2 linked regions of the Arabidopsis thaliana genome follow. The protein of the gene in region 1 interacts with the protein of each later gene in a pairwise test. Each region holds a gene or a part of one and is shown on either strand. Other genes may lie near its edges. The genes, in order: PRK4 and AT3G52070.

Region 1 (16,342 bases):
TGTAACCATGTCCACCAATGAACTGAGATCATCTCTGTTGGCTCGTTCGTTTCAACTCCGTAGCAAGAATGCTGAAAAAGATATCGAGGAAGAAAGACTTAGGTGCACAGAAATGGAAAGCGAGTGGATATCATTGACTGACGAATTCAGAGTAGAGATTGAAACTCAACGTACACGCGCAGAGAAAGCTGAAGCCCAGCTTAAACAAGAGAAACTATCTTCTGAGGAGCTAGAAGATGCACTTCGCAGAGCTGTTCTTGGTCATGCCAGGTTTGTTGAACACTACACAGAGCTACAAGAGAAGTACAACGACTTATGCTCAAAGCATAAAGCAACAGTGGAATGGATAACAGAGTTGAAGAAGGCAGTAGCAAAGGCTGGTAAAAAGGGTTGCGGTTCTCGTTTTGCTAAATCACTTGCTTCTGAGCTCTCAGCACTTAGAGTAGAAAGAGAACGAGAAAGAGATCTGTTGAAGAAGGAAAACATAAGCCTCAAGATTCAACTAAGGAATACTGCTGAAGCTGTTCATACTGCTGGAGAAGTTCTTGTTAGACTCAGAGAAGCCGAACAATCAGCATCAGCTGCTGAGGTAAACAAATTTTTCATGTTTTAATCGATGAACTGTTGGATTGAGACTGTGACATTGTTTTCTGAGTGACTGTTTGGTTGCAGGAAAAGTTCAATGAAGTAGAAGAAGAAAACGAGAAGCTAAAGAAGAAAATGGAAAAGTTGAAGAGGAGACACAAGTTGGAAGTGGTAACAATCAAAAAGAGTCTAAAGCAAAACACGTTGCCAGAATCTGCATTGCAGCCACTGCATCAGAGGAACTCGGCTATTGAGGAAGAAGGAATGTAGAAACATCATTATACCAAAGTGCATAACTTGAAGACCCTTCTTGGATCTGATTGGTATATTATACACATCTTTATTCTGCTTATTTTTCACTTTATTGCTTCTAATAAAATTCAAATGTCCTTATTCCACAAGGCATTTTTAGTTTTTTCCCAATTGAATTATTTGTTCTGCTGTATTTGATTTGAATCTCGTGTTTGTGGCGTGCAAACTGGTCTCTGTATAACTTTAACTTTGGTATTTCATTTTAATTTTCTTACATTTAAAATTGTTATCTTTCTTTCCAAACTCAAATTCTTCTTACAAGATATATATATTGTTGATCATGTAATACAAGAGAAATTCTAATCAAAATAGAGTAGACTTTAATTATGGGAATCCTATTTTGCCAAATCGACAATCTTACTCTGTTTTTTTTTTTTTGTCAAGGATCTTACTCTGTTTAAAGTTAACTTTTTGTTGTATATGTCAATTTAGTTCACCAAAAAAAAAAAAAAAAACTCATGTTTTGTTATGCAGTGGTAAAAGTTTTGGAAAGTTTATGTGTTTATATATAGAATATTTCTTGTTTATGAATAATTTTCTATAATTAAGAAAATAAATCTCTACATTATCGAAAGCAAAATATACGGACATATAAGAAAGGAAACTAGAATCATAATACCGAATTATAATCGAAGTTGTTCCATTGTGTCATCGAAGTTGTGCTTTTAGGGAAAAACAAGAATACAGACAGCTCTAGAAACCAAGAACAATGAAGGGTCCTTCAGTGGTAAGAAATTTTCTGTGTTTTCTAATACTTGTTTCTCGAGATGTTATCTATATTTTTCTTGATAGCCCTCTGATTTTGTAACTTTATTAACAGACATGTGTGTTTGGTGTGAACATTGGACTCAAAGGTTATCAAAAGATGTTGAATAAAATATATGAAGGCATTGAAGGTAAAAGAATTTTGAGTCTTTAAGATCTTATTATTAATTATCTACACAAGAATTGAGAAGACTAATTAACTCTGTATACATATTCTGAAACACGAGAGGTTTAAAGCTCGATGTGTCAAACTGGTTGGTGTATTTACGGGGCGAGATTGATCCAATAACCTTCATTAGGAAGATGTATAAAGCAAGAAGTTACGTTGAGCTCTTCCGAATAGATTATGGATATGAAGAAAATCCACAAGGAACCCGGAGACCAAATTCTCACTTCATGGTTTTATATCTCACAACTTTTCACTACTTATACTTATTATCAGTGGTTTTTAAATCTAAATATGTGTGTGTTTGGCTTCTGCAGAGATGTTGCTTTGAACTAAACACATTAGATATAAGTTGGTATAAGAGAATCATAGGAGCCTTGAAAACCATCCAAGGTTCAGAATTTTTCTCTAGGTCATCAATTAATCTTTGGAAAAATGTTATTTTTGTTTTGTTTTGATTGGTGGGTTTGGTTTCAGGTGTATCATTTACCATAGATGCACAACCGGTTATGGGAAATCCGATGGTATATTTATGTGGGAACATAGAAATTGGAGTGCTCATGAAGATGCTTGTGAAGACAGGCATTGAATTGTCAGCAATGGAATATGGAGTCGAGTATAAAGATGCAAACTTGAACCCACCTCCTCCCAAGAAAGTTGAGGCTCCTTCAATTGGAACAGCTGAGACAAAGGACGTGAAAGACACGGTGCCTCCTCCTCTTCCTGAGGTTGTTAAACACCAAGTCGTATACAAGAAGTCTCGCGGTTTAAGAAGGTTCTTTTGTTAATGAATCATGTCGTCATTAGCACCATATTATCATTTTCTTGCAAAACCAAATAATGGACCATGAGAAGAAGAACCGTTCGAAAGAAAATAAAAAATGAAAACAACGTCCTACTCCTCATATATGTCATATGTGTGTGTTATTAATCAAGTACCTAGTTGGTAAACCTTCAAGAGTTTTTCAAGAATGAGATAACAAATTTGTGTGCATTAGTGTTTTCATATTGTTTTTTTTTTTTCATACTACTGCTCTAGTTGTTGATGCTATTATATGCTAAACATAAAAGGCAGAGTGCATTTAAAGAAAAGCATAGAAGCTTATCGTTACGTTTTACATATTTGCCTTTATAAATTTATAGATAGTGTTTAATTGATAAGAACATAATGTTTTTTTTATTTATATATAATTAAGCATCACATGTTGAGAAGTAATTACAGAAACGTAAAACATTTGACTTCAATCACATGGGATTTGTTCATAAAACTAGATGAGGAGAATTATGTTTTCTTACAAAAATTGTTATCCCGCAAGCCAGCTTTCAAAAAGCTCCCAACGTTATCGAATCAATTCATATTACTTACAACGAGAAAGAAGCTGTTTTGCTTCGTATTTTACGTAATTGAATATCTTCAAGAAATCAATAAACGTGATTATTTTGTTAAATAAACCCTAAACTCTTCAACTATAAAGATGGTATATCAGTGTTCCAAGGTAAAAGGATCAAACCAAACCCAAAGATGGAAAATCGAGAAGTTTTTGTTTACATTGTCATCTCCATCTTCCGCTCTCTCCAATTCTTGTTTTGGAGATTCCGTCCACGTTACAATGATGTTACGTCTGCGTTGACCCGCCCTCTGACTTCGGCCGCAAGCTATGATTTTAAGTTCATGTCGTATATGGTCAATAAGGCTAAGTCCGTCAATAAAGCACTAGAAGAGGCTGTTCCTCTCCGCGAGCCAGAACTCAAGATCCGTGAGGCCATGAGGTACACGCTTCTCTCCGATGGGAAGCGTGTAAGACCAATGCTTTGCTTAGCTGCATGCGAGCTCGTGGGGGGACAAGAGTCAACCGCAATGTCCGCTGCATGTGCGATTGAGATGCTCCACGCGTCGTCTCTCATCCTAGACGACCTCCCTTGTATGGACAACGACAGCCTCCGACGTGGAAAACCCACTAACCATATAGTCTTTGGCGAGAGTATAGCCATATTAGCTTCTCAAGCGCTCATAGCTTTGGCTGTCCAAAAGACCACGTCATCCACCTTTGCGGACGTTCCCCCAGAGAGGATTCTCAAGACCGTTCAGGAGATGGTTAAAGCAGTGGAAGGGCTTGTTGCAGGTCAACAGGCGGATTTGGCTGGAGAAGGTATGAGATTTGATAGTGACACTGGATTAGAGCATCTTGAGTTTATACATATTCATAAAACGGCGGCGTTGCTTGAAGCCGCAGCTGTTATGGGAGCTATAATGGGAGGTGGGTCTGATGAAGAGATTGAGAGGCTTCGGAGTTACGCAAGATGTATTGGGTTAATGTTTCAGGTTGTGGACGATGTGCTTGATGTGACCAAATCGTCGGAAGAGCTCGGGAAAACCGCCGGTAAAGATTTGATCGCCGGAAAACTGACGTATCCGAGACTGATGGGAGTGGAGAAATCGAAAGAATATGCTGAGAGATTGAACATAGAAGCGCGGGAACATCTTCTAGGGTTTGATATAGACAAGGTGGCTCCTTTGGTGTCTCTCGCTGATTACATTGTCAACAGACAAAACTGACACTATTGCTCAAAAGCTTAATAACAAAATTTGTGTCTACTGTCTAGTGACAATATTAAAACTTGGATATGTAAACAAAACACAGGAGGCCCATACACAAATTTAGGCCTGGTTCTACTTAACGGCTCAACGGCCTTCACTTGTTTTCCTTTGGATAAATAAAAGTTGGGGTTTCCATAAATTTGTCTTATTCATTTGGCATGCAATTCTAAAAATAGTACATTAGTAATGATACAAAAGTACTGCTTGAGTTGTTTTGATACAAATAGTAATGATACAAAAACTAATTAGTCTCATGTTTGATAAGAAAAATTGAGATAATTAATTTAGTGGTTTTATGAAGGTAAAGCTCACATGTTAAGTAGTAAATGCATCGGTAAACATTTTTTTTTTTTTTTTATAACCAGGAGGTTCGGGGCCGAGACCCTTAATCCCTTCAGGATCCGGGCCGGGAATACTAGGTGAAAGCCCCTGACCAAATAGAAATAACTAGTAATTTCACGCCTAAGGGGAATCGATCCCTGACCTGGACCAACAGGGCAATTCTTCCTCAAGTGGAAACCATTAGACTACCACCACTTGGTTCATCCGTAAACATTTGCTTAGACTAGTTTAAACAAGAGACTAATGAGATTTGTTTTTCCGTTATTATAATAATGTTAGCGTGTCATGGCCAAAGGCTTCGTAAACGCTCCCAACGTGCCGCGCGTTATACTATAAATGACTCCACATGATAGTAATATAGTATAACAACTTACAACGAGAGTAAGTTGTTTTCATTGTGTGTTACGTAATTCGATTGCTTCAAAAATTAATAAATGTCAAGTATTTATATCATTTTCTAAGTTTTTTGACAGGAGTTACAAGAAAATAAGTAGCGGAAAAATAAATTTACAAAAAACACAGACATAAATAAATAGTAATGGAGGAAAACGTTAACCAAAAGCGGAAATAAGAGAAGAAACACCGATTCCGAAAAGCTAAACTTGGAAATTTGCATGATTTCCACAACTCGAAGATACCAAAAAGTTAGAGTCTCATCCTATTTGCTACGAGCAAACCTTTGCAGAAGCCCGTCTTCAAAACTTCTCGATAAAATGTGTACAGCTTCTTTGCAAACTAACGCAAAAACGCAAAAACAACTATAGGGCTAACACACAAATTCGACAGTTACAGAAGCATCTACGGGTAACCAAAGAAACCACCTTCGGCCACCATTCGTATCACAACAATAGGAACCATCTCTCATAGATAAGCGATGCCTCGAAAACCAACATGCCGCCTCTATTATTCCGTAAAGACTCCACTCCAACATGACGCACAACATCACTGTTGTCTAAGCACAAAACAACCACATCAAAAGAAACCACAAACTCCAACTTCAAGCAAAACGGATGAAGAAAGGAGGTGGCTTCACGAAGAGCAGAAAAAAAAAAACAGAACTCCGACTGACGAAACTCACACCATCACTAGCCCAAAAACAGAGGGGAGTCCCTGACCACCCAAAAACCTAGTCACCACCCAAAGATACAATTTGAGTCGAGTTAATTCGGTACATTAAAATCCTTATAAACCGGGTAACCGAAAATCGTCTCCTTCAGTGTCTAGGGCTGGTCAAATCTGACGTGGCATATTTCAATATTTCATTCTGTTGTGCTTGTAGATGTTGAATCTCCATTTTCGTCTTCTTTTCGAGTATTTCGTGCTACTACTCTCTTGATAATTCGAAGCTTTTTCGTTATCTCCAGAAATGGGTTCTTCAGAAACGGAAAGTGAAAGCAGAGGTTTTCAAAACCCAGATTGGGAAACAGAGTTTAACCGATTCGAAAACGCGATTTCGTCTGGTTCTGCTTCAATTCGTGTAAGATCCGTTTTAAAGTTATCAGATTTGACGAATCGAGTACCTGAGAGCTATATATCCCGTGCAATTCCGATTCTCGCCGGTCTTCTTCGTGTCTCAGACGACTCCAATCGTTCCGTTCAAGCTGCCGCCGCTCATTGCTTGAAATGTATTACCTGTTGCGGCGGTGAAGAAAGTGGATTTGCGGTGACGATGGGGAGGTGTGGTGTGATTGCTAGCTTATTAGGGTTGTTACTTGAAGCGAATACGGATGGTAATGTGTTTCGAAGGATTTGGGTGAAATGTTTGTGGAGCTTAGTTACTTTTGGATCTTCGATTCGAGTTGGTTTGGCTAGGTTAGGTGGTTTAGAGATTGTGATTCGTGAGTTGAATAATTGGGAAGATGATGGAAGTAGATGGTACTTGTTAGAGATCCTTAGTGCTTTGACGACGATTAGAGAGAGCAGACGCGTTCTTGTTCATTCAGGTGGGCTTAAGTTTCTTGTAGAAGCTGCTAAAGTTGGGAACTTGGCCTCAAGAGAGAGAGCTTGTCATGCTATCGGACTGATCGGTGTTACTAGACGAGCTCGGCGAATACTGGTTGAAGCAGGAGTGATTCCAGCACTTGTGGATCTGTATCGAGATGGGGATGATAAGGCAAAGCTTTTAGCTGGTAATGCCTTAGGGATCATATCTGCTCAGACTGAGTACATTAGGCCTGTCACTGAAGCTGGTTCCATTCCTTTGTATGTCGAGCTTCTCTCGGGACAAGATCCCATGGGGAAAGATATTGCAGAGGATGTGTTCTGTATATTAGCTGTAGCTGAAGGTAATGCTGTTTTGATAGCGGAACAACTGGTGAGGATCTTGAGAGCAGGGGATAACGAAGCCAAGCTTGCAGCTTCTGATGTGTTATGGGATCTTGCGGGTTATAGGCATTCTGTATCTGTTATTAGAGGGTCTGGCGCAATTCCTTTGCTTATTGAGCTTCTGAGAGATGGGTCACTTGAGTTCAGAGAGAGGATTTCTGGAGCTATTTCTCAGTTGAGTTACAATGAGAACGACCGTGAGGCCTTTTCTGATTCCGGTATGATACCGATTCTGATTGAATGGTTGGGGGATGAGTCGGAAGAGCTCAGGGATAACGCAGCTGAGGCACTTATTAATTTTTCTGAAGACCAAGAGCATTATGCTAGAGTGCGTGAGGCAATAGGCCATCCTGTGTTTCAGAGTATGCAGAGCAGACTGGCTAGAATCCGAGCTTCCCATGAACTGATGGTTCGATCAATGCGAAGGGTTACAATCCAACATCTTGCCCATGACCATGATCTTCCATGATCTGAAGGGCAAATTAAGCTTCCCATCTGTTTTGATGTATGTTTATAATCTGACTTGGAAAAAGAAAAGACTCAATTGCTGTTTGATTTCTGCAATTTGTATTTGATACGTTTGTATACATGTACTAAAAGATTTCTGACTTTGAATGGAAATGGTATCTACATGGTTAGTCTTCTTTTACATAACTAAGCACCCAGTGGTTGGACCATAAGAATCATGCACTATTCTATAAACCTCAGGCCTTGGCTGCTCATTGCTAACCACAGGACATTGAGCTATGCAGCAATGCGGTGTAATAGACTTCTCTTCGACCTGTGGCTTCTTCACTTCTTCAAGAGTCTCAAGAGTGACATGACATGCTTTCTTCCTTAAGGCCATAATCAAAGAAGCTGAATCCACTCCATCTCCAACAACCACAAGCTCATCCTGAAATTCTCCTTCCATGGCCACTGAAGTTACACCTGCGTTGCCAGATACAGATGTATTAAAGTTTCATTTTTTTTAACCATAAGAAAACCACTCTCGATCGGTTCAAAACATTAAATCTGTTTTAACACTAACCATCTGCAGCAACTGCTACTTGCATTGCCTTCTTCCTGCATTTTTCACTATTCACTGACAGTTTGATACGCATCTTTTGCTGCAAATTGCTCCAACAAAGACCAATGATTCGAAAAAAGAAACAGATCGAGAAACAAGACATCCATGATTATCGAAATAAAAATGAAGAGCCTTTAAGCAACAAGAAAAATTAGCACCTTCATTGTCCTGACGAAGCTTTGTCTCTCTATAAAGAAGTTGCTTTTTAAGAATCGAAGCCAAACTTCCTCAGATATGAGTTAAGAGAACCAAACCCTAATTATTCTCCGTTTTGTACGGATTTCAAAAGCGAAGAAGCTTCTACACACTGAGTTTCAGAACTGTAAACTTCGCCAGAAAAAGACAGAGAGAGAGAAATTTCTTCTTGACCGAATCAGACACCAACTGAGACTCCAATTTCTTGTCTTTTGTGCTCGGTCCTTTTGATTCACTCAAACAAGAAGAAGAAAAACAAATGGGAAGAGAAGAAGAAATTAAGTTGTTCTGTGAATGGGTTTCACTGTTACATGCTTTTTAACTTGATACACAAGGTCGCCCATTTCCCTGACAGATTTGCCAATGTTTCCCAGTGTTTAATTACCACTGTGCCATTGAGTTTTTGTCTTCTTTGAAAAATCTGTCCCATTGTGTATCATATGCTGTCCCCCGTACAAGACTTATAACCAGTTTTCCACTCTTACGTCAATATTAGTAGTAGTAGTTTTACATATATTTTTGTTATGGAAATGCATCTTAATTACTAACTTAATTAGGCTTATTTTTCCACAATTTAATTTAGTTTAATTTTTATAATAAGGATTGTGTGTTAGGCCAAGATTTAGTTAGAACAAATGGGAAGTAAATGAAAAGACAAATCACAACAACAAGGATTGTATAACTAAAAAACCATAAAAGAATGGAATGGCCACCCTAAGATCTCTCTAAAATCTAAACAATTTGTAGACAACACATAGGCAAACAAAAACCAAATCTTGCATATTGACACATTGTTGGGTTTTGTCTATTCTTGGTGGGTTTTGTTCTCTCTCTTTCTGTTCATACGTTTTTTTTTTCTCTTCTCTGGAAGGCAGGAAAGAGAAAAAGAAAAGTTATTTAGCGAAAAAAAAAAAAGAAAAAGAAAAGTTCATTGGGATCGAAAAGAGGTAAGATTGTTCTTGAAGAATCGATTCTATAGAGCGTGTTAGCTTCAATGCTAACTTGGGAGACCCCAGTTATGCTTGCAAGCAACACCGCCTCAACCAAAAAGCTAGCCTTCATTACCACCTTTCTCATCATTGTGTTATGTCCGGTCACAATGGTCATGTCTCAGCCGCAGGCGGATGTTTTGCCACTGCCAGCCTCAGACGCAGATTGCCTCTTGAGATTTAAAGATACTTTGGTTAATGCATCGTTCATTAGCAGTTGGGATCCTTCCATCTCCCCGTGTAAGCGAAACTCAGAGAATTGGTTCGGTGTTCTCTGTGTTACCGGTAATGTTTGGGGCCTACAACTCGAAGGAATGGGCTTAACCGGGAAGCTTGACCTTGAACCATTAGCTGCAATCAAGAATCTACGAACCTTGAGCTTCATGAACAACAAATTTAACGGTTCAATGCCATCTGTCAAGAATTTTGGTGCGTTGAAATCATTGTACTTGTCTAACAACCGGTTTACAGGGGAGATACCCGCGGATGCGTTTGATGGTATGCATCATTTGAAGAAGCTTCTGTTGGCTAACAACGCGTTTCGAGGGAGTATCCCTTCTTCTTTAGCTTATTTGCCAATGCTTTTAGAGTTGAGGCTAAATGGGAATCAGTTTCATGGGGAAATACCTTATTTTAAACAAAAGGACCTTAAGTTGGCTAGCTTCGAAAACAATGACCTCGAGGGACCTATACCGGAAAGCCTTAGCAACATGGATCCTGTCTCCTTTTCAGGTAATTAAACAAACAGTTCAAGTACATCTGCAAATGTTTGGTAAACTATAGGAGTTCTTATGTAAAAACAGAATCTTTCTTGCTTTGTTGACATTGCAGGGAACAAGAACTTGTGTGGTCCTCCACTAAGCCCATGTTCGAGTGATTCAGGATCTTCTCCGGATCTCCCTTCTAGTCCCACGGAAAAGAACAAGAACCAATCTTTCTTCATCATTGCAATTGTTCTGATTGTCATTGGGATAATACTGATGATCATTTCGCTTGTGGTCTGTATCCTTCATACCAGAAGACGCAAGAGTTTGTCGGCTTATCCATCCGCGGGTCAGGACAGGACAGAGAAATACAACTACGATCAATCTACGGACAAGGATAAAGCTGCAGATTCTGTAACGAGTTACACTAGTAGAAGAGGAGCAGTACCGGATCAGAATAAACTCTTGTTTTTGCAAGATGACATTCAAAGATTTGACCTTCAAGATCTTCTTAGAGCCTCTGCTGAAGTTCTTGGGAGCGGAAGCTTTGGCTCTTCTTATAAAACTGGGATAAATAGCGGACAGATGCTGGTCGTGAAGAGGTATAAACATATGAACAATGTTGGAAGAGATGAGTTTCATGAGCATATGAGACGGTTAGGGAGATTGAAACATCCGAATCTGTTGCCTATTGTGGCTTACTATTACCGCAGAGAAGAGAAGCTCTTGATCGCTGAGTTCATGCCAAATCGTAGCTTGGCAAGCCATCTTCACGGTATGTAACATTCAACTTTTTTGGTCGATTAAAATTGTAACTTTATCAGTTTTGACTAAAAAAATGCTCTGTTTCAGCGAATCATTCTGTGGATCAACCGGGATTGGATTGGCCAACAAGGCTAAAGATTATACAAGGAGTGGCTAAGGGTTTAGGTTACTTGTTCAACGAGCTAACAACCCTAACAATCCCTCACGGTCATCTCAAGTCATCGAACGTTGTATTGGACGAATCATTTGAGCCACTCCTAACCGATTATGCACTAAGACCAGTGATGAACTCAGAGCAGTCTCACAATCTAATGATCTCTTATAAATCACCAGAGTATAGCTTAAAGGGACATCTAACTAAAAAGACAGATGTTTGGTGCCTGGGGGTATTGATCTTGGAGCTTTTAACAGGTAGGTTTCCGGAGAATTATCTAAGCCAAGGGTACGATGCTAACATGAGCCTCGTAACTTGGGTGAGCAACATGGTTAAGGAGAAGAAAACAGGTGACGTGTTTGACAAGGAAATGACTGGGAAGAAAAACTGCAAAGCAGAGATGCTAAACCTTTTGAAAATCGGGTTGAGTTGTTGCGAAGAAGATGAAGAAAGGAGGATGGAGATGAGAGATGCTGTGGAGAAGATAGAGAGGTTAAAAGAAGGAGAGTTTGACAATGATTTCGCATCGACGACACATAATGTCTTTGCTTCTCGGTTGATAGACGACGATGACTTTGGTTTCGCCATGAATCGATGATGAAACTGATCAGTCTTCTCCAGAACAATGGAAAAAGCTAAACAATTTGTAATCTTTGATGCCAAATAAAAAGAAGAACTTTCTTTTTCTTCTTTGTTATGTAACTTTTTCCATTCTTATAAATCATTCTCTTCGTGTAATTGTAAATCCATTTTGCAGAGTTTTGAAAATTTTACTCATTTCTTATTTTCAAGTACAAGAATCAAATCCATGCAAAAAGTAATGAATCCATGCGTAGTGACAACATAGCTTGAGATCGAAATACTCAAATTGCATTGTATGTGGATGAAAAGTTTCCAACTTCAAAAAAAGTTTGGAACTTTTTTCTCGAGAATTGTATTTTAGGGCTAAAAATTGAATTTTTGGGGATAAACTAATTACTATGGCGGAGAATTCGCGGCTACGAGAGCTACGGAGACACAGATGATGAAAGAGAGAAAGAGAGAGAGAGAGAGAGAGAATGTGAGGTTAAAATTATCCATTGTTGTTCTTCAGTGCACCACTGAATCGAAGTTTTCTAATTTGGAGAAAGAGGATTTCTCAAAACCCCTAATTTAGGAAGACCGCAGATTTCTTTAGTATTGAGAATGAGATTCTCCGAGAAGATGGATTAGTGAATCGAGAGGTTGATATCGTTAAATGCGGGGATTTTGCAATCTAGGGTTCTTAAGCATTGTAATCGATGAAGGCTCAAAAGGGAAGCTCGAAGAAGAAAGGTACGAATTCTGGGTTAGTCGCTGTAGCAGTGGATAACAATAAAGGAAGCCAACATGCTCTCAAATGGGCTGCTGATCATCTTGTCTCTAAAGGACAAACCATTATCCTCCTCCATGTTATCCTTAGGTCATCCTCTGATTCAGGTCTGAGCTTATGACAAAACCTGTTTTTGTTCTTTTTGTTGTTTTGATTTTTTGGATTCTGGATATACTTAAATGTTGTGGTGTTATGGGTTTGCTTGCAGGTGAGATTACTGCAGAGAAACATAAGCAAGCTGAAAATCTTTTTGTGACATTTCATTGCTACTGCAGTCGAAAAGAGGTAATATCTCTTGTCCTCGCTTGCTTTGTTTCTAAAGTGAATCTATGTTATAGCATAGCTTTTGGTAATTGAATGCATTGTTCTTTACTCTCTGTTGCTAGATACAATGCCTTGATGTCACGCTTGAGGATGACAACATTGTCAAGTCCCTTGCGGAATATGTTTCCTCTGGTGTGATTGAGAATTTGATTCTTGGTGCTCCTTCGAGGCATGGATTCATGAGGTAGTAATATGAATCTCTTCTCTCCTATAAGTTTGAATCCTCTTCCTTGTTTTATCCTTATGTGTTTCTTTGATTCAATCTGTTGACAGGAAATTTAAGATTTCTGATACACCGAGCAATGTAGCGAAAGCAGCACCTGATTTCTGTACAGTTTACGTTATTTCAAAAGGGAAGATATCATCTGTCCGCCATGCCTCACGAGCTGCTCCATATCGGTCTCCGCTTATGGGTCAGATTGAAAACCACTCTGAAATCATAAACTACGAAAAGTTCAGAAACACCATGAGCTTTAGAGGTAAAATCATTAACTAGTTTTTTTAGGCTAAACCATGTGACACCACACACATCTTGAATTTTTTTCTTTCGTTGGTACAAACAGATAGGGCTCCTCCCAGGTCTTCGACTGCTAGCTCCATTGAAGATTATGGAAAGTAATGTTTCATGAGGATATTTTTCGTCTTTGACAAAAAACTGATTCGTTTTGAAGGAAGATACTTATCGCTCTTTCTTTCGCGGTAATATCGTCAACAGGTCACCTATGGCAAGGACGTCAAATTACGCAAACTCATTCTTTGATTTGGAAGATTCCGAAAACGACATATCATTTGTTTGCTCAGGCAGGCCAAGTACCGCAAGCTCAGGCCGGCCAAGTACAAGTACCGGAAGGTCTGACATATCTTTTGTGAGCTCAGGCAGGCCGAGTACAAGCACCACTGGAAGCCCTTCCTTCATCTACGATTTTCCTGATTCTGGTTTAACTCCGAGAGAGTCGACGAGCTCTGGACACTCTATGCGTCTAGGAATCAGGTTCAATGACACAAATATCCAACATGATTTCTCATTCGTCTCACAAGATAGCGGTCGGTCATCTTGTTCTTGTTCACCACAAAACTTGGTAAGATGCGTTTGATTGGTTATAGATAGCAATACATATGTTTTCGGGAATGGTTTACTATATATTTTTCTTGAAAAATGTATAGGAAGAAGTGGAAGCTGAGATGCGGAGATTGAAGCAGGAACTGAAACACGCAATTGACATGTATGGATCAGCTTGCAGAGAAGCACTAGCTGCAAAGCAAGAGGTAAAACGATATAAGACGAAACCGTCCCTGTGTATATATATTCTTGTACAGTGCTGACTGAAAGAAATTTTACTTATGGATCAAAGGCGAAGGAGCTCCAACGTCAGAAAATTGAAGAGGAAGGGTGGGTGCAAGAAGGACAGTTATCAGAGAAATCTACAAAGTCCATAGTGGAAAAAGAGAGAGCACATAAAGCTGCGAAGGATGCTTCTGAAACAGCAGGCAAGATAGCAGAGCTCGAAACACAAAGAAGAGCTATAGAAGCTGCAGGTTCTTTCTCTGATTCCAGTTTAAGGTATCGAAGGTATGTCATTGGTGAGATTGAAGAAGCCACAAACTCATTCGACAAGGCTAATAAAATAGGCGAAGGCGGGTATGGTCCTGTCTATAAGGGTTATCTTGATCATACCCCTGTTGCTATTAAGGCTTTGAAAGCAGATGCAGTTCAAGGAAGATCTCAATTTCAAAGAGAGGTAAGTTCACTTAAAAATCCTATACTTCTCAAATCTAAATAGAAATCAGACTTTAACTTAGGTGTGGACTGACTATTGAGTATTGAGCATTGTTATAGGTAGAAGTTCTTAGCTGCATAAGACACCCACACATGGTACTACTAATTGGAGCATGTCCAGAGTATGGAGTGCTTGTATATGAGTATATGGCCAAAGGGAGTTTAGCTGATAGGCTCTATAAGTATGGAAACACACCACCACTCTCGTGGGAGCTCAGGTTCCGAATTGCAGCCGAAGTTGCGACGGGTCTGCTCTTCCTACACCAGACGAAACCCGAGCCTATAGTGCACCGTGATCTTAAACCCGGAAACATTTTGATTGACCAGAACTACGTAAGCAAAATAGGGGACGTTGGATTAGCCAAACTAGTGCCTGCAGTTGCTGAAAACGTCACGCAGTGCCACGTGTCATCAACCGCTGGGACTTTCTGTTACATTGACCCTGAGTACCAACAAACTGGAATGCTAGGTGTGAAATCTGATGTCTACTCTTTTGGTATCTTGCTTCTCGAACTGCTCACAGCGAAAAGGCCGACGGGTTTGGCTTATACCGTTGAGCAAGCAATGGAGCAAGGGAAATTCAAGGATATGTTAGACCCAGCAGTGCCTAACTGGCCGGTGGAAGAAGCTATGTCTTTGGCAAAGATTGCTCTTAAATGTGCACAGCTGAGAAGGAAAGACCGACCAGACCTCGGAAAAGAGGTTTTACCAGAGCTCAATAAATTGAGAGCTCGTGCAGATACGAATATGGAATGGATGATGTTCAACTTAAGTAGAGGTCGTCTAACACCAAATCATAGCCAAGTGTCCTTGCCACCAGTTGTAAGTAATGAAAAAGCTCTTTGCAATTCTAGTCTTTAAGTTAAAATCTTTGAAATGCTTTGGTTGCAGGATGAACTAAGTGTATGCTCGGATAAGTCTTATACACATTCAAGCACTGTATCCGACACAGAGAAGAACTCAGGTGCATTAGAGAACCATATTTTTTCCATCTTCTTTAACATTTTTACAATGTGTTTGATCCATCAAATCTTACAGTTTACTCTGTTTCTTTTCCAGACCAAAACGAAGAGGATTAGCATATTTTGTGTGTTGAAGGAAATGGAGTGAGACCATTGTTAAAGCTTATGTAATTGTGAATATTGTTGTATGTATGTATGTATATAATTCGTAAAGGAAGAAAATAACTGAAGGAAAAAGTTGAGTAGGTTTGTTATAATATCTCTGCAAAGACGCAAACTCTTTTTTTGATATGTAAGACAAAATATATAGACCACATAATTCGCACCCTAATTCTAAGAAACTTCTAAATTGAGAAATTGGTTCATCGATTTCAGTGGAAAGTGGTACTTAGCTAAATTGAGAAAGGTGCCTCAATTTCAGTAGAACCTGACGCAAAATTTCGCGATCATGCATGACTCAAATTGGTTTATTCACTTAAATAAAAAAGTTGTTTCCCTATCTAGTTGAAGTTCTCAATTCAAACGCAACTTCTTACTTTTTCTTTTTATTTATACTGGAATGAATTTTTCGTCAATGCTAGACCTCAATATTTGGTGATTAAGTCCAAAAAATTATAGCAATATTCATTAGTTAAATCATAATAATATTTGTTATTTCTGCTAAATATATTAGTTTTAAATTGGTAAATATATCAGTCATCATACTTTATATATGTGCACAAGAAAAAGAGGAAAAAAAACTAACTTTTAATAAATTGAACGCTATCCTCTATATCTCGTCCTGGTCCAAATGTAAACTTCAATATCCTTTTGATTTTATTGCTGATTGCTTTAAAAAATTTCACAAACACTTTTATCATTCTTTTATTCCACCAAAATCTACAGACATAATACTTTGTAATTTTATGTAAAAATCTTCAAAATTTGGGAAAAGAAAAATCATTTAAAATCAATTTGC
Region 2 (15,625 bases), about 12 Mb from region 1:
AAACACTGGAAACAAAAAAAGAAGGGTTTGTTGTCTATTTGGCGGATTTCTTGGATGGCTCAGGTTGAGATTCAGCTTTGATGATATTGAGTTGACCACCTTCTTTACAAGCTGCATTAGTTGCTTTCACTTCATTGCAATGGTTTATGAATTTCGTAAGCTCCTGCTCCACACAACACCAACCAATAACTCACAATTAAAGATCCAATCGATTCAGAATTTAGGGAGATTGAAGAATATAGAAATTACCCGATCAGTGTCCATCTCTTTCGTCATCTTTGTTGGTTTCACATTTCTCTTCCCTGGAACAAGAAGATGATAAAATCTGAGAAATCAAAATCGAAAGGGATTTGTGTGAAGTAAAAAAAAAGTGAATACCTTTGCGAGTTTGAATGGATTTGCCATGGCGATTAGGAGCAATAGTCTTCCTCTTCTGTTGGCCCTTGAACTGATTGCTCTTCTGCGTCATCTTTGGATCGTCGTTTCTAGCTAGGGTTTTCTCTTCTGTCGAAGGGTTTTTGTTGTAATAGAAGAAGAAGAAGAACAACAATCAAAAGCCTATATAATGGGCTCTTAAGGCCTTTATTTATATGGGCTGATTAATTATTGGGCCCAATTTGGAGTTTTCTAAATTCAACTCTGCTAAATTTTTGGGAGGCAGAAGATTTTGTTCCGAGGAAGACACGGATACGCAGAAAGCGGTAAAATCCTCCTTCTTCGTCGTCCTTGTAAAAACCCTTTCTCATTTTTGGAAGGTTCTTTCAAAATCCTTTCTTCGATTGCTTTCGGATTCTCGCTCGCTTCTTCGATTTTTGGTTTTGATTCATGGTGAATGTGTTTCCTCCGCTAAGGTTAAACGCTCTTCTTCTTCATGACAGTACTTTCAGTGACGTCATGACGCTGCATCTGTATCATCACTCCCGTTTTCTATGGAGGAATCTCTGTTTTCCTCGGAGTGTTGGAAACTTGTGTAATCGGAACTGTTCTCTCATCTCTCCTTCCCTTGCACGCTCTGCGAAGGTGATACTTGTACTTGTATCGTTCAATTCTGAGCTATTTAGATGTGGTTTTTACTCTTGTTATGTAGTCTACATCTGAATCATGGCTCTGATTAGTTTGATATACAGATTTTCTGAATCAATTGAATGTTTCTTTCGCGACATTTCTGTTTACTATAAACTCAAAATTGATCTCTGAAGGATACTTATTATTTCGTTCTAATGTTGATATAAACATTTGTGGTACACAGTACTATTGCAGTTCCGTAGCTGTTTCTGAATTCTCAAATGAAGCAGCTAGTGGCAGCACATTGACTTCTATAAGTGAAGATGTTACGCCACAGTCGATAAAATATCCTTTCAAGTCAGAAGAAAGAGTAGCTAGTACTGCTGCTTCTTCAAATGGCAGAGTGATGCTTATTGATGGGACATCGATTATATACAGGGCTTATTATAAGCTTTTAGGTAATTCTGCTACTCATGTGTACATCAAATGTTAATTTTTTTTCCTCCCGATCTCACACTTATTGACATTTGATTGGGCATGTGCAGCAAGGTTGAATCATGGTCATCTGGCTCATGCTGATGGAAATGCGGACTGGGTTTTAACAATATTTTCATCTCTTTCTCTTGTAAGTGATATCTTGAGTATTGTTCTCCAGATGTTCATTTTTACTGTACTTAAATCTGATGGTTGAGAAAAGCTTCTTGTAGCATTAACGATGGCTGACCAAGTAATCATGGTTGCGTATAATTATGTTTCCTTAAGGCTAAAGTTTATCTTTCTTGTTATAACTTTCGCATTCGACTTCTTACCTTGTTTCATTGTGTTCTCATTTTCAGCTGATTGATGTTTTGAAATTTCTCCCATCCCATGTGGCGGTAAATTCCATTATCCATTTAACATCGCATTTCTTTATATCTGTGATGATCGAATGAAGTTCTTGTAGTTTTCTTAATGTTGGATAGCCCCTACTGACTTAATTAACTGTGTCCATGCAGGTGGTGTTCGACCATGATGGTGAGTCCTAATGTAATAGTCTTCTATAATTGGTTAAATTCATGGACGTCTATCTACTTCATGTGGTGATGTAGGAAGAATTCAGGTTTTTGGGGACTTTTAGTGTCTATAGTTAACCACTTTGAGTGTGCCTCTCAGATGATTTAAACTAATTCATTGATATAAGCCCTTATTTCAAACTCTATAGTTATGGCCTCTATACTTCCTGATTTTAATTACTCAAGTATGTGTATGATTTCCCCTTATCAATTGATGCTAATTGCTCCTCTAGTCATCTATAATTTTGATTTTCATCATCCTCTTTCAGATGAATAGATAAATAATTGTCTTCAGCTTGTTGAATGTTGTTGCCCGAAAACTTAGATTATGTTGAGTGTTGATGTTTTCAACTTCATTTGTATCATAGTGAATGGATAAAAGTTTCAGATTTCAACTTCTGGCCACTACTGAGAACATTTATTCGATAGGCCTAAGAGTAAGCAGGTGGAGATCTAGATGGTGATATATTGACCAAAATTGATTACTTAATCTTGATAATCATTACTGTACTATTTATGGAATATTCCACTAAGTTATCTAGAAAAGCTTCTAGTAATGCATAATAGTGGTAATCTGACAAATATCATGTAGTAATCATGGTTATGTCATATGTGAGGCAAGAAGATTAAATGCTTTCTGGACCTATACGTCTCTAGTTACTCTTTTTTAACAAAATAGAGCCTTTTTCAGGAGTTCCTTATGGCACTACTTCTAATTCATCTACAGGTTATCGTTCTGCAAAAGGTAAGCTCCATGTCCTTAGTCAAACTAAAGTAATTTAATTGACAGTATAAGAAGTGGTCATTTTTGCATGAGAGTTTAGTTAGTATGCTGACTCGATGGTGATGTATGTAATATCATCGCCGATGATCTCCAATTGCTATACAAGCCTTCAGTATATTGCTTCTAAATATATAAACTTGCAGTTTGAACTGATTTTCTGCTGTGTGCCTAGGAGAAATTATTCCGGAAATTATGGCTTACTTGCCAAGGATGATATTTGAAGTGAAATGCCAACTTTGTCTTCCTTTGGGTGTTTTGCTTGCCGCTTTTGGGCAGTCATAAACTTTGGTGTAGATAACAGAGGGTCGGTCATATGCGCTTCCATGGCGGTCTTTGGCTATTTGTAAAATAAACTTAGGTCATATCCAATGATGAACGTAGGTCCAGTATGCTTGATGTCTTTTGTTGTTTCCGTTCTGTACATACTGACATAGATATGCATATCCAATACTCTCTTCTTTCTACGTGATGGGTTCACTTGGCTGCTCAAACTGTAAATTTTAGGCTTTTTGGCACTCTAAACCTCGACATGATTCTCCCTTGTCTTTGCGCAGAGTGTGAAGGATTATTTTTATGCATCAGTATCAAACCTATCTTTGTTCATGTTTAAATTTTTACAGGCATGAACTTCCGTCATACTCTCTACCCAGCATATAAAAGTAATCGTCCTCCCACACCTGATACCATAGTACAAGGACTTCAATATCTCAAAGCGTCCATCAAGGCAATGTCTATAAAAGTTATAGAGGTAAATCATGCACATGATTGCCATATTTCCTTTCATTGTGATGATTTCTCACTAATGGGCAGACATTCCATGAAGACAGGTGCCAGGTGTAGAAGCTGATGATGTTATTGGAACACTGGCTATGCGAAGCATTAGTGCCGGTTTCAAAGTACTCATTTTCAGCTATTCGAGAAGTGTTCACTACTTATTGAATGCTCAGGGTCTGTTCAATTTGTCCTTTTCCTAGAAGTGGACTGATCATTTGTTTGTTACCCCTTTACAGGTCCGAGTTGTCTCTCCAGACAAAGACTTCTTTCAGATTCTTTCTCCCTCGTTGCGTCTTCTTCGACTAACACCACGCGGATCAGAGTATGAAATTCATGTTAGATGGATAATTGCCTCATTGTAGAATTTTGCGTATTATGAAACCATAGTTGCTCTTTGTATCCTGTATGTTTTTTCCACTCAGTTGTGTCAAGGCTACTGCTTCTTGTGGCAGGATGGCTTCTTTTGGAATGGAAGATTTTGCTAAAAAGTTTGGAAATTTGGAACCAGCACAATTTGTTGATATCATCGCCCTTGCTGGAGACAAGTCTGATAATATTCCAGGTTAAGCCCACTTCCTCTACCCCTCACGAAATTGTTAATTTCTGGGGATATTCCTTTCATAGCCGCATTTTGTGTATCACAGAAAAGTTGAGCAAAAGTGCACAATCTACATACAAACGTTTAGCCAAAGTGCACACAGGAAAGGGCTAAAGTGATCTAATGATGTTTGTGTGATGCAGGAGTTGATGGTATTGGGAATGTGCACGCAGTGGAACTGATATCTAGATTTGGTATTCACTGAGTCATGCTATATTCTTTGATTTCATTGATTTGCGCCCCATGTTTCCTATTACTCACTTTTATTGCATTATCAGGCACGTTGGAGAATCTGTTGCAGTCTGTGGATGAGATCAAAGAAGGAAAAATAAAGGAGGTGAGTGAACAAGTGTTGCAGAGGTTAGGCAAGCTAGTGCTTCTGTGATATGCAAGGCCTAATATTATAATCTTCCTTGTCTTTGCAACAGTCTCTAATAGCTAGTGCGGATCAAGCCATTCTTAGCAAGAAATTGGTAGGTTTTCCTGTTTTTCTTTCATACTTTCATTCATTTATTCAGTTGTTAAGTTCACAAGGTAGGGATGATGAATTGTGTTAATGGCAGGCACTGTTACGGTCTGATCTCCCAGATTACATAGTACCGTTCGACACGAAAGATCTTACTTTTAAGAAACCAGAGGTTTGTATTTGTATGACGATATACATCTACTACAATAGACTAACTGAAAACAGAAAGATTAGTAACAGAGGATAATTTGTGAAATGTACAGGACAATGGTGAGAAATTGAGTAGCCTGTTAATCGCGATTGCGGATTACGCAGAAGGATTTTCAGCTGATCCAGTCATCAGAAGAGCTTTCAGGTTGTGGGAAAAACTGGAAGCAGTGCCATGATGATATTTTATGCATCTTTTTTCTTACTCGTTTCTTTGTATTGGGTACATAAAATAGAGTAAGTTCAAGCCAAGCTTAGAAAGTTCTCCCACAAAACATTAAAGCGATACTTTCACAATCCTTTTGTAAAGCATGCTTTATTGTAACTATGGAGAATGATGAAGTTGATGCTAATTTAGAATGCTCCTCCATGGGAGGTTCCATTACATAAAACACAAGGGAGATGATAACTTCAAGCTAGCCTCTTCTGAACACATCTAAAATGCTGTCTGAAACTCTGTTCACTTTGCTAAAACAAGAATCTCTTCTGTCTTTTAGTTGAATAGGTAAACTAACGTTAATATCATTTACTATTATTAGTATCCGCTAAATTGATTATAAAAAAAGGTCAAGTTAATGCCTCATGGAGACATATGATGATGATGATCAAAGTAAATTATAAACTAAGAAGAAAATATTCGTCTCTATTGAATTAATTATGTACATTAGTGACAATAAGAACTAAAAATATTCTAAACAAATTAACAATGAAAGAAAAGAGACAAGGTACTAAACTAGTACGTAAATTAGTAGACAAACTCCTTCATTGGATCTCAAACCAAATCGAAAACCAAGGACCAAGGTAGCATTATGCTTTTGATGATGGGGTCTGAAAGTGTGTTACCACTTACCACCTTGTGACAACTTTGGAACACTGAGTATTGGTGAAACCACTACTCAAAGCTTAAGCCCGTTCGCACAGTGACCCGGCTTTGAGCTTATGAAATAATGGACTCCGGGGTTTGGTGAGCCTGACGAGATCGAGGCCTGTCTTGTGCACGGCTACTGGAGAAGTGGGGTCGCAATATCTGAATTCACGATGACCGCTGATTTCTAAGACATCGACGTTGTCTTCGATGTTGTATTCTAAAACAAGATTGTCTCCCACTTTAAACTGTTTCTCCACGCTCCAATAGATAAAATCACAAAAGCACAATCTGACCGACAGTATAACAATAAGCCATCTAGTTCACAATCAATGGGCTGGACTAGATGATTCATTAATTAAAAGAACGTCATATGACCATAACTTGGTGCATTTTCACCATTGTTTTGTTACTTTGCAATTAGTAATTCATCAAAGTAAAAACACTTGAAATAACAAAGATCTTTTCATTCACACTTTTTTCGAAACAAAAGAGAGGGAACAACACTTTTGCCATTCCCTCTCTCTCCCGTGGAAAGGAGCTGAATTACAAAAGAAAAGCCGATTTGGCTTTATCTTAATGATGATGCTCTCACTTTGCCTTTGGGGGCTCTCTATTTACATTCTTTTTTACATCCATTTTCCCATATCTCTACCTTCCCTAGAGACACACAAAAGCTTAAAAAACACAGCAATTTTCACACACACACACAGAAGTTCATCTTTATTTAGCCACTCTTCTTCGAGCGCCAACACAAGCTTCTTCCTAAACCTTCCTTATGATGATATCTGAAACCTGAACACAATAACAAGAAGATAAGCAAATTGAAACTAAACTCTCAAACTGTATTCATATTTACACATTGAGATTTCAGTGTTATACCTAATTTACTTTCACCGAATTCAATCCCTAAAGATCACAGCATCTGCAATCTCCATAAGCGGTTGCAATGACTCCGGCGTGAATTTTCTGGCGAAGAAATAGTCTAAACTCGAATTAGATCTCCGCAGAGAGTGAATCAGCTGCGGCGAGATCTCAGAGGCATCGTACGTGTGAGGATGACCACCAACACTACCGGTCCAATTAACACGTGTGAGTGTAAAGTGACTACATCCTTGAGGATCCTCAAGAGACAACAAAGTCGGAAAATAATGTTCTTCAGGGTAACAAGATTCAACATCAAGGCATGGTAATTTGAATTTCCTCCATAGCTTTCTCTCTTTGATCACCATTAGAGCATGACGTTTCGCTAATACGAAGAACTGAGATCCAACACGGAAGTCTTGGTACTGGATCTCAGGAAGCATCGCGTCGTCTCCTCTTGCGTTGTATCGTTTCAGAAGGAACGGTTCATCGGAGAGGATCTCGATGAAGCTTTGTTGATGATGATCGGAGAAGAGGTGGTTGTGGATGTAAGAGAAGGAATGGAGAGGGATACAGTGTTGTGAGATTAAAGCGAAATAGAGATTGTTAGGATCGTCGAGGATTGCGTTTGCTAGTAATCGTCGTTCGGCGGAGATTAACGTCGGAGAAGCTCGTGCGGTTCTTCTCGCCGGGATGAACTTAGCGTTGATTGATGAAGAATCGAGAAGAGGAGAGACGGAGGAGGTTGGATCTGCGTGGATGTAAACGTTGTAGAGATCTTGGTGACCTTGGAAGAAGCTTTCCCAGAGAGGTAAGAAGGTTAGATCGGAGTTTGTTAGGAAGAGGAAAGCGATCTTTGGGGGTGGATTTGGAGAGAGGGAGATGAGACGACGGTTGTTGTTGGTGGAGGAAGAGACGACGGCGCGGTGGAAGAGAGAGAGGTCGTCTAGGTCATCGGCGGTGGAAATGAGGGTAGAGGAAGAGAGAAGGATGTGTGGTGAGAGGATGAAGAGGAAGAAGAGAAGAGAAAGAGAGAGGAAGAGAGATAGAGAATAAACGAGTGTAGAAGATGAGAACATCTCTCTGTATACAACAACACAGAATTTCTCTGAGGAAGAAGAAGAAGAAGAAGAAGAAGATTGATTGAAATGAATGAGTTAGAAAAAATTCTGATGTGACAATAAAAAGGAAAAAGGGGAATAATGACGTCAGCAAAATGGGGACACGTGAAATTATTTTTAAAATTATTTGGGACAATCGACACAGTTGCTCTATCGCTATTTGTTTACGTGGGGCTGTTCTCTCTCTATTTATATAATAATGAGATACGGTTTTTTCAGCAACCAGATTTTAAAGTTATCTGATTAAATCTAATAATAGGATAGAGATAGAGTCACAGAGACATGTTGTTGACTTTATGACATTATTTTATTCTTTGCTTATCCACTCAGTCATCATTTATCTCACCAGTCAGACATAATGTGTTGTTGTTGTGAATTTGTAGATGCTTCCGACTATACCTGATTACCTGGCCATTCAGAATCGGTTTGGATCAAAAAATTTGGGTTTTCGGTTTAGAAATCGAAACAAACCGAATTAGTTGAAACGAACCGAATAGAAATTCGGCCAATTTGGTTTTGCATTGGCGTGTACCTTGTGACTACATGTGTGTGTGTTAGATGAGATCTATCCACCCATTTTTCAAATCATTTTTGTCGTTAAGCTATCAAGATTCTGATATTTTCCTGCTCACTTTTGATTCCCAAAACAAAAAACTTTCTTCAATTATTCTATTCATCTTCTCATGGCGGCTCTCTCCACCACCTTCTACTACCACCCACTCTGCACTAACCACCGTACAAAGAGACAAGCCTCAAGCAGACACGGAGTTAGATCTATGAGAGTGATGTCTTGTCGGAAGCAGAAATTACCAGAAGAGAATGAAGGAGTGATCCAGAGAACATTGAGAAGGATGATTTCAGAGGCTGGGAAGATTGGGAAGAATCTGAAGCCAGAGAAGAAGAAAGGAGACGTCAAGGACCTGATGCTTATGAGTCTCTCTTTTGCTGTTTATGTTTATATCTCTCAACTATTGGTTTGTGCTTACTTCTCCTGGCAACATCTCAGCTTCCCCAAATCTTCATGGTAGTAGCTAAGCTAGCTCCTCCTTGTAAATTCTGCACAAATCAGTAATAAGATAAGAAATTCAATTCCGACATAGGAGAATTGAGAGTTGTGATCTTTCACTTTGGTCTTATATAATTGAATTGTTAAGCTTCTCATACCTCTTTATCTGCTTTAACTCCGGCAGAAAAGGCAAACCAACCATTGCGATAACACTATCAACCAGTTAAGGCTCTTTGTTTTAGAGCCGAAAGGAGATGCAAGAGCCTCGGGCAGAGTCGCTGAGTATGCCTTGAAAACCAAAACTTTGACCGTAATTGTTAGAAAGAAAGAGAGATTCCTAACCATTTCGTATTGGCCTCCTCCAATTTATCCTCCTTAAACAGAGAGCCCCATCCATTTTCCTTCTGTGTGCTGCACCAAACCTTTCCTCCATAGTCATATCACTGCGAGCTTTTCCCTGTACAATCCAACCTCTAAGTCAGCTATAAGCAAAGAGCTTGGGATAAAAGCTTGGTTGTGGAGTGTTCAGGTAAGGAAACAAGAATCAGCAAATGATCTTAAAGAAAAAACGTTCCTCCTTTGTTTCATCAAATCCAACAACTTCAGCGTCATCTAACAATTCCGCTATAGATGGAACATTGGGAAAAAGAAGAGTTTCCATCTCTCCTATATGCTAAATTCCCAGCAAACATGCAAGAGCGCACGTTCACCAGACTTGATGCTGGAAACACCAATAGCTAAACCGGCCATTACTTGTATCTCTGTTCATAGAGGACATTTCACTCCTTAGTTTTTAATCTTGTTTAAAGCTCTGTATACTAACATAAACATGCATGAATCAGCTTTAAAGCAACAAAAGAAAGAAAGGAAAACTCAATTTCTTTCCTCCCAAATATTCTTTTTCATTAGGTTCACATGAAACGCAAGATTTAAGACCTCAGCTTTACTATCAACTTTAGGTAGGTAAGACTACCTACCATTTTGAGAAGGCTCACAATGCAAAAATGGAACTCACCATCCTTGACTGATTCGGTTTCAGCTCCAGCAAACCAAAGTGTTTCTAATAAACTTGGCCGTGCATTGAACCACGGAGTTCCAAAATCAATGTCTGTTTAAATCATTGGCCCCAGAATTTGAACTACACACAGAGTCACAGACATTCATTACGATGGTTGAATGAAATGGTCTTGACTAAGAAGTAAGAACAACTATGCACAATTGAGAAACTATTAGCTCGATTTCCAGAAACTATCACTATCGTAATATAAAAGTCCCAGGATCGACCAAATCGGACGAGAAAGACTCAATGAAGAAACCCCATAAAAACATGGTCGAAGTCAGTATAAACAAAATCAAGAGTTTGGTCGTCGTTGTGGATTTGGAGGAGAGGAGAGTGAGCTTACAGAGTATGAGAAGCGAGAAGCTCAGGGGAAGTGTGACTCGTCGTCGTCGTCTTCGAAGTCACTCACGACCATCGAGAGATCTGATGATTTTGGTAAAATATCAAAAAAGGACTTCAACTTTTCACTTAAGTCAAAACAAGCCCCTATAAATAAATTCTGTTATTTAAGCCTTGAGGCTTGAGCTGCGTCTTTGTTGTTCACTAGGAGAGTTATTTGAGCGGATAATTTACTAAAACTGAATGTCCATCTCCCAAACAAACATTTTACGTTTTCATGTTATATAAAAGAATACTATATCGTTAGCTAGAATATTGTAGTTAAATATTAAAGTAGTGTATTTTACATTTTGTCTGAACTTTGTCATCTTTGTTTCATGAATGGTCAATGGTGAATAATGGGGAGAGAAGGAACGTGAATAAAGGGATCCACAAGTGTCTCCACCATTTTCTGAGTAAAAACAATCACATCCTTTCATTTTCAAACCCCTAAACCAAATTGTAAAGTCAGAAAAAAAGAAAAAAAGAAACACACATACAAATCGAAAAGCTTTTCTTCATCTCCCACGTTACAATAAGCCCTAAGAACGAATAAGGCAACTACAGAGAGAAAAGATGAATTCAACTACAACAAAAAACGTTTGTGGAGACAAATGGTACCTTAACCTAGACAGGCCAGAAGAGGCATTGAAGATTCTTGTATTCATTGCCATTTTCGTCGTCCGAACTCTCCTCCATTATCTCATGAAGCCTCTAGGCCAACCTTACCTCACCACCGACTTTGCTGTATGTCAAATATCTTTTTGTTCTTTGTCTATCTCTTTTGATTTCTATATTAACTCAAATTTTCTATGCATCAGATAGGGCTAATTCTAGGTAATATTCCAAGGTTTCGAGGGGCATTCTCGGGGCCTTACTCTATAACCCTCAACAACATAATAGAATTTGGAATGATCTGCCATATGTTTGTCATGGGTCTAGAGATGAATCCAAGCGTTCTTCTCAGACCACCAACCAAAGATGCATTCATTGCCTACACAAGCATGATCACGACCTTTGTTCTCGCCTTTGTCACAACTCCTTTCCTCCACTATACCAAAACTTCTCCTTACATTTTCTCCCTCGCCCTCTCCCTCATGGCCTCAAGCACCGGTTCTCCTATCCTAACCCGCGTCATCGCCAATCTCAAAATCAGAAAATCCGATCTTGGAAAACTTGCATCAGCCGCAGGTGTCCATACGGACATGATCTCTACCTTGCTTTACTGCTTCGGCTTCATTTTCTTCCCTACGGAGAAACCTCTCGCTCGTCCTCTCCACAGATTCTTCAGAGCCCTCCTCATGTTTTGCCTCTTCCTCGCTCAGGTCACTTTCACTTCCATTGTATCCCCAATCTTTCTTAATTGGGTCAACAACGAGAACCCTGAAGGTAAACCACTCAAGGGGTCACACCTTGTTATGTCCCTGGCATTTGTCGTCTTGATCTGCAGTTTCCCAACTTGGCCACCTGAATCAATGTACAACCCAATTCTCAGTGCATTCACGGCTGGTCTCTTCCTTCCAAACAAAGGAAGAATGTCGAAATGGATCATCAACAAAATCAATTACTTGCTCAGCACGGTCTTCTACCCTATCTTCTTCTTCTGGGTTGGATTCATAATCCACATGAGAAACTTTGACATTACTGACAAAATGGCGTGGGTAAGATTCTTTTCTCTTCTTGGCACTGTTATAGCCGGAAAAGTCACCGGAACAGTCTTGTGTGGTTTACTACTCGGTTATCATGTCCCGGAAACCGCATCCTTAGGACTGCTTTTGACCACTAAAGGCCATTTTCATGTCTACTTGGCAGCTTTAGCCATTCGGGTACCATCAAGCTTTCTCTTTATGTTTTGTTATTTAAGCTATCATCAAAGTAAGATCTTTACTCTCTTTCTTTTTCGTTTGATGCAAATGCAGACTAACAGGGTGAAAAGTACGACCGGTGCATTGATCATATTTATCATTGTCTTCACGGTGGTCTACTCCCCATTCGTGGTCATGGACATCATCAAACGCGCTAGAAAGCGGGTGCCTGTGCACATCATGGCGCTTCAATGGCTCGATCCAACAACTGAACTTCGGATCTTGATTGGTCTCCACGGTCCCCACAACATTGGTTCTACGCTCAACGTTATGGAGATCTGCCATGGTGGCCGTGAGCCGGGTTCCATATTCTATGCGACTGACATGGTGGAGTTGACTGATGAGATTGCAGCCACGCTGAAGAAGGGCGGAGGAGCCGGTCAGAGTAATGATTCAGTGACGGTAACGGATAGGTCGGTGACGGAAATGAGAGAGAGTATAACGGCAGCTGTGAATGGGTACGGAGAGCTCCGCAATGGACAAGGTGTGACAGTGCGGCGGATGCTGGCGTTGTCCACGTTTGTGACCATGGCCCATGACGTCTGCGGTTTGGCTGATGAACTTATGGTTTCCATTATAATTCTACCGTTCCATAAACGGCTGAATCCTGATGGTACTCTCGATGCTGGTCATGCTGGGTTCCGTCATGTGAACCGCAAGGTAATTGTTCCATCTCAGTAATACTCTGTTTCTTTCAGTTCTCAGAGAGATAATTTGGCATTTGTGTGTGCAGATTCTGAAGAACGCACCATGTTCAGTAGGAATTCTTGTGGATAGGTCGTTCGGGCAAACAGAAGAGGCATGGAGACCAGGAGCGTCCATGGGCATTGCTATAATATTCATAGGTGGCAGAGACGACCGAGAGGCACTAGCCTTCGCTGCACAAGTGGCTCGACATCCTGCTGTGAAATTAAAGGTTATACGTTTCTTGGAAGACAAGAGCTCTCAAAACGCACAAAAACGAAGCAGCATCCTGAACAGAGCGAGTGTGGTAGATCAAGAGGAGGAAATGAAGCTTGATGATGAATGTTTTGCTGAGTTCTACGAAAGATACATAGCTGGAGGTGGAAGAGTGTCTTACATGGAGAAGCATCTCACCAACTCCTCTGAGACTTTCACAGCTCTTAAATCACTAGATGGAGAGTATGGGCTGGTGATTGTAGGAAGAGGAGGGGGAAGAGCGAGCAGTGGGTTAACCACCGGCCTCAACGACTGGCAGCAATGTCCAGAGCTTGGTCCCATAGGTGACGTTCTTTCAGGATCAGATTTCTCACACAACACATCAATGTTAATTATTCAGCAGCAGCGTACTCGGGGTCAGCTAGAAGGGCTTCATGATGACTTCACTATACTGTGAATATCTGTACAAATGCACTTTACTTAGTAGCTTGGGAAGAGTAGTAGCTTCACCATCACAACTCTTAAAGAGACTTTGTACAATAGTTCAAACATTAAGCGGTTTATGTAGATAGAATGGTAAAAAGAAGAGGTAATCTAAGCATTACTTCATAGCATCCTGAAATGGTGTTGAAACATAGAGTTAAAAGAAGTTACAGGCCGATTTGTTTTTGATTTATACAAAGCATAACTAGGGAAAATTTCCCAAGCTCATTATTAGTCTTGATTGGTGCTTAGCAAAAGACAATGTAAAACGTTTTCCCCGATGTGCTGATGGAGAACTCCAAGTTCCTTAAAACTGATTCGAAAACTTGGCCACCTCTGCCTGAAAACACAGAAGGGTATACCATAAGACCAGGTACATCAAACAACATCAATAGCATTTGATATTCGTCTAGCTTATTAACCACATAATCAGATAAGTATATCCGAAGAGAGAAACTTATGTACCTCAAACTGGTTCTTCAAGTAGTCGAGCTCCTTGTCCAAGTCATTGATGGCCTGGTTGTATGCTTGCATTGGGGAAGACTGGCTTGTTGTGTGAATCTACATACAGAAACCACTTTCACAATTAAACAACAACATACAAGATCTTTCTATAAGTCCTTAAGCAACCAGTAATCCCAGAGGAAACTGTTAACACTAGAAGCTTAAACCAAGAAATATTCACGGTTTCCAAACAACCATACACTACTTTTAAGTTCCTAAACCAATCTTTTGGATCCTAAGGTCAATCAATGAACTGAAAAAAACGCAGAGGATAGCATTGTTCTTTCCAATTCAAAGCAACAGGCTCTACAGTAGAAGCAACTGAAAAACTTGGAACTTACCCTCACTATGATTTTGTACTTAAGAGGATGAGGAAGTTGGTATCCAGCAAACAAGACATTCTCGTCGCGATGAAGTTGCCTAAAACAAAAATTTCAGAACAGAGCTGACAAAAATTAGGGCTTTCTTCTTTCTGAGAAAAGAGTTGCAAAATCAACAAAAAGACGTACATGCGGACAATGTTTCCAATCGTATGGTCTTCTCTCTCAACCGTGAAGGAAGCAGCATTGATGATCTTCGTATCCCTATCATAAGAAACCCTAGAACATAGAAATCGAGAGGGTTTAGCACATGTAAGAGGACTATCGAGTATGATTTCGAGTGATAGAAACTTCAATTACTTCTTGGTGCCTTCAGGGACGACGAATCGCTCATATCGTTCGGGAGCATTCATGGCTTAATCGGAGATTTCAAGCTTCGCTCTCTTTTTCGCCGCAGAGAGACAGTCAAGAGTTCTTCAGTTTCTTTCTGGCAAACAAAATATAATACGACGTCGTTTTTCATAAAAGAAAAAAGATCGAATCTCCACGTGTTATATTATTATTGGTGTATACAGTTTGGGTCGGATCGGGCCGATAAAACATAATATTTCCGTTTAAGGACCTCTAGGTTTATATTATTTACACAATAAAGGACGAGTGATTTAATTCAGAAACCTAACAAAAAATTCAGGAAAAAAAGAAAAGAAGTCAGATCCCTAAAAATCGAACCCGAAAGCGTAAAACTTGAAAACCGACTATGGCCTTTCACGTAGCTTGTCCAATTACATGGTATGTTTTTTTTTCTTTCTTTTGGCGCCTCCTTTACTCGTTGGCTTGTTTGTTTTTACTAATCGAATTGTTCTAATTTGGGGGTTTTCTTCTTTCTTTCGTTCTTTCTCCGCAGCCGGAAAATTTGCTTCTGCGTTTTGGGGTTTTCTCGGAATCTTCATGGTAATGAAGTCAAGGATGTGTATCTCAAAGAGATCCATTCTCTTCAGGAGTTCGTGCGAAACCCCTGGGATGCTGAGGTTTCCAAGGACGGTACCGTTCAGATCCATGTGCCTAAGCTTGCTGTTTTCGATACTGGTCCTCGCATTGCGGCTAGAAATGTTGGTGTTGGGAGTGATTCGGCGATGGAGGTTGTTGCTGCATCATCGAATTTGGTACCAGCTAAACGCACCTTGGTGTTGCAGAAGAAGGCTGTGGAAGTTTATGCTGCGAATGATTGTTCTGGCGACTTAGAGGTTCGAATTCTTACTTGCGAAACTTGTTTTTGTGGTTAGGGGTTACTGCTATGTCAATTGAATTGAACTTGTTTATAGGAATCTGTCTTTGTGAGAAAACGTGTTTTCAGTGATGTTGATTATCTGTAT

The links.
Region 2: the proteins of PRK4 (region 1) and AT3G52070 interact in a protein complementation assay, tested with the Arabidopsis thaliana proteins (one large-scale study listed by BioGRID).

What each region holds. Positions count from the first base shown.
Region 1 is NC_003074.8:7,035,645-7,051,986, forward strand, and holds PRK4 (Leucine-rich repeat protein kinase family protein), read left to right. Parts: upstream 1-9,066; 5' UTR 9,067-9,352; coding exon 9,353-10,079; intron 10,080-10,150; coding exon of another isoform or gene 10,151-10,178; coding exon 10,179-10,826; intron 10,827-10,903; coding exon 10,904-11,568; 3' UTR 11,569-11,779; downstream 11,780-16,342. Other genes in the region: AT3G20150 (Kinesin motor family protein), read left to right, coding at 1-589, 673-855; AT3G20155 (uncharacterized protein), read left to right, coding at 1,607-1,624, 1,718-1,793, 1,892-2,061, 2,146-2,221, 2,306-2,616; AT3G20160 (Terpenoid synthases superfamily protein), read left to right, coding at 3,351-4,385; AT3G20170 (ARM repeat superfamily protein), read left to right, coding at 6,136-7,563; AT3G20180 (Copper transport protein family), read right to left, coding at 7,741-8,024, 8,125-8,266; AT3G20200 (kinase with adenine nucleotide alpha hydrolases-like domain-containing protein), read left to right, coding at 12,251-12,428, 12,530-12,606, 12,708-12,829, 12,919-13,124, 13,209-13,260, 13,361-13,724, 13,810-13,911, 13,998-14,384 and 3 more. UniProt on the Arabidopsis thaliana protein: Receptor-like kinase involved in the control of pollen germination and pollen tube polar growth. Can phosphorylate ROPGEF1 in vitro.
Region 2 is NC_003074.8:19,304,334-19,319,958, forward strand, and holds AT3G52070 (RNA/RNP complex-1-interacting phosphatase), read left to right. Parts: upstream 1-8,384; 5' UTR 8,385-8,419; coding exon 8,420-8,764; 3' UTR 8,765-8,891; downstream 8,892-15,625. Other genes in the region: AT3G52040 (2,3-bisphosphoglycerate-dependent phosphoglycerate mutase), read right to left, coding at 35-163, 250-302, 379-469; AT3G52050 (5'-3' exonuclease family protein), read left to right, coding at 826-1,020, 1,250-1,463, 1,551-1,630, 1,842-1,880, 2,001-2,019, 2,749-2,802, 3,462-3,589, 3,669-3,737 and 7 more; AT3G52060 (core-2/I-branching beta-1,6-N-acetylglucosaminyltransferase family protein), read right to left, coding at 6,654-7,694; AT3G52075 (uncharacterized protein), read right to left, coding at 8,914-9,087; chx28 (cation/hydrogen exchanger 28), read left to right, coding at 10,757-10,927, 11,002-12,006, 12,100-12,705, 12,779-13,402; NRPB11 (DNA-directed RNA polymerase, RBP11-like protein), read right to left, coding at 13,736-13,768, 13,894-13,989, 14,078-14,167, 14,274-14,352, 14,442-14,531, 14,613-14,665; AT3G52100 (RING/FYVE/PHD-type zinc finger family protein), read left to right, coding at 15,010-15,041, 15,157-15,496, 15,575-15,625.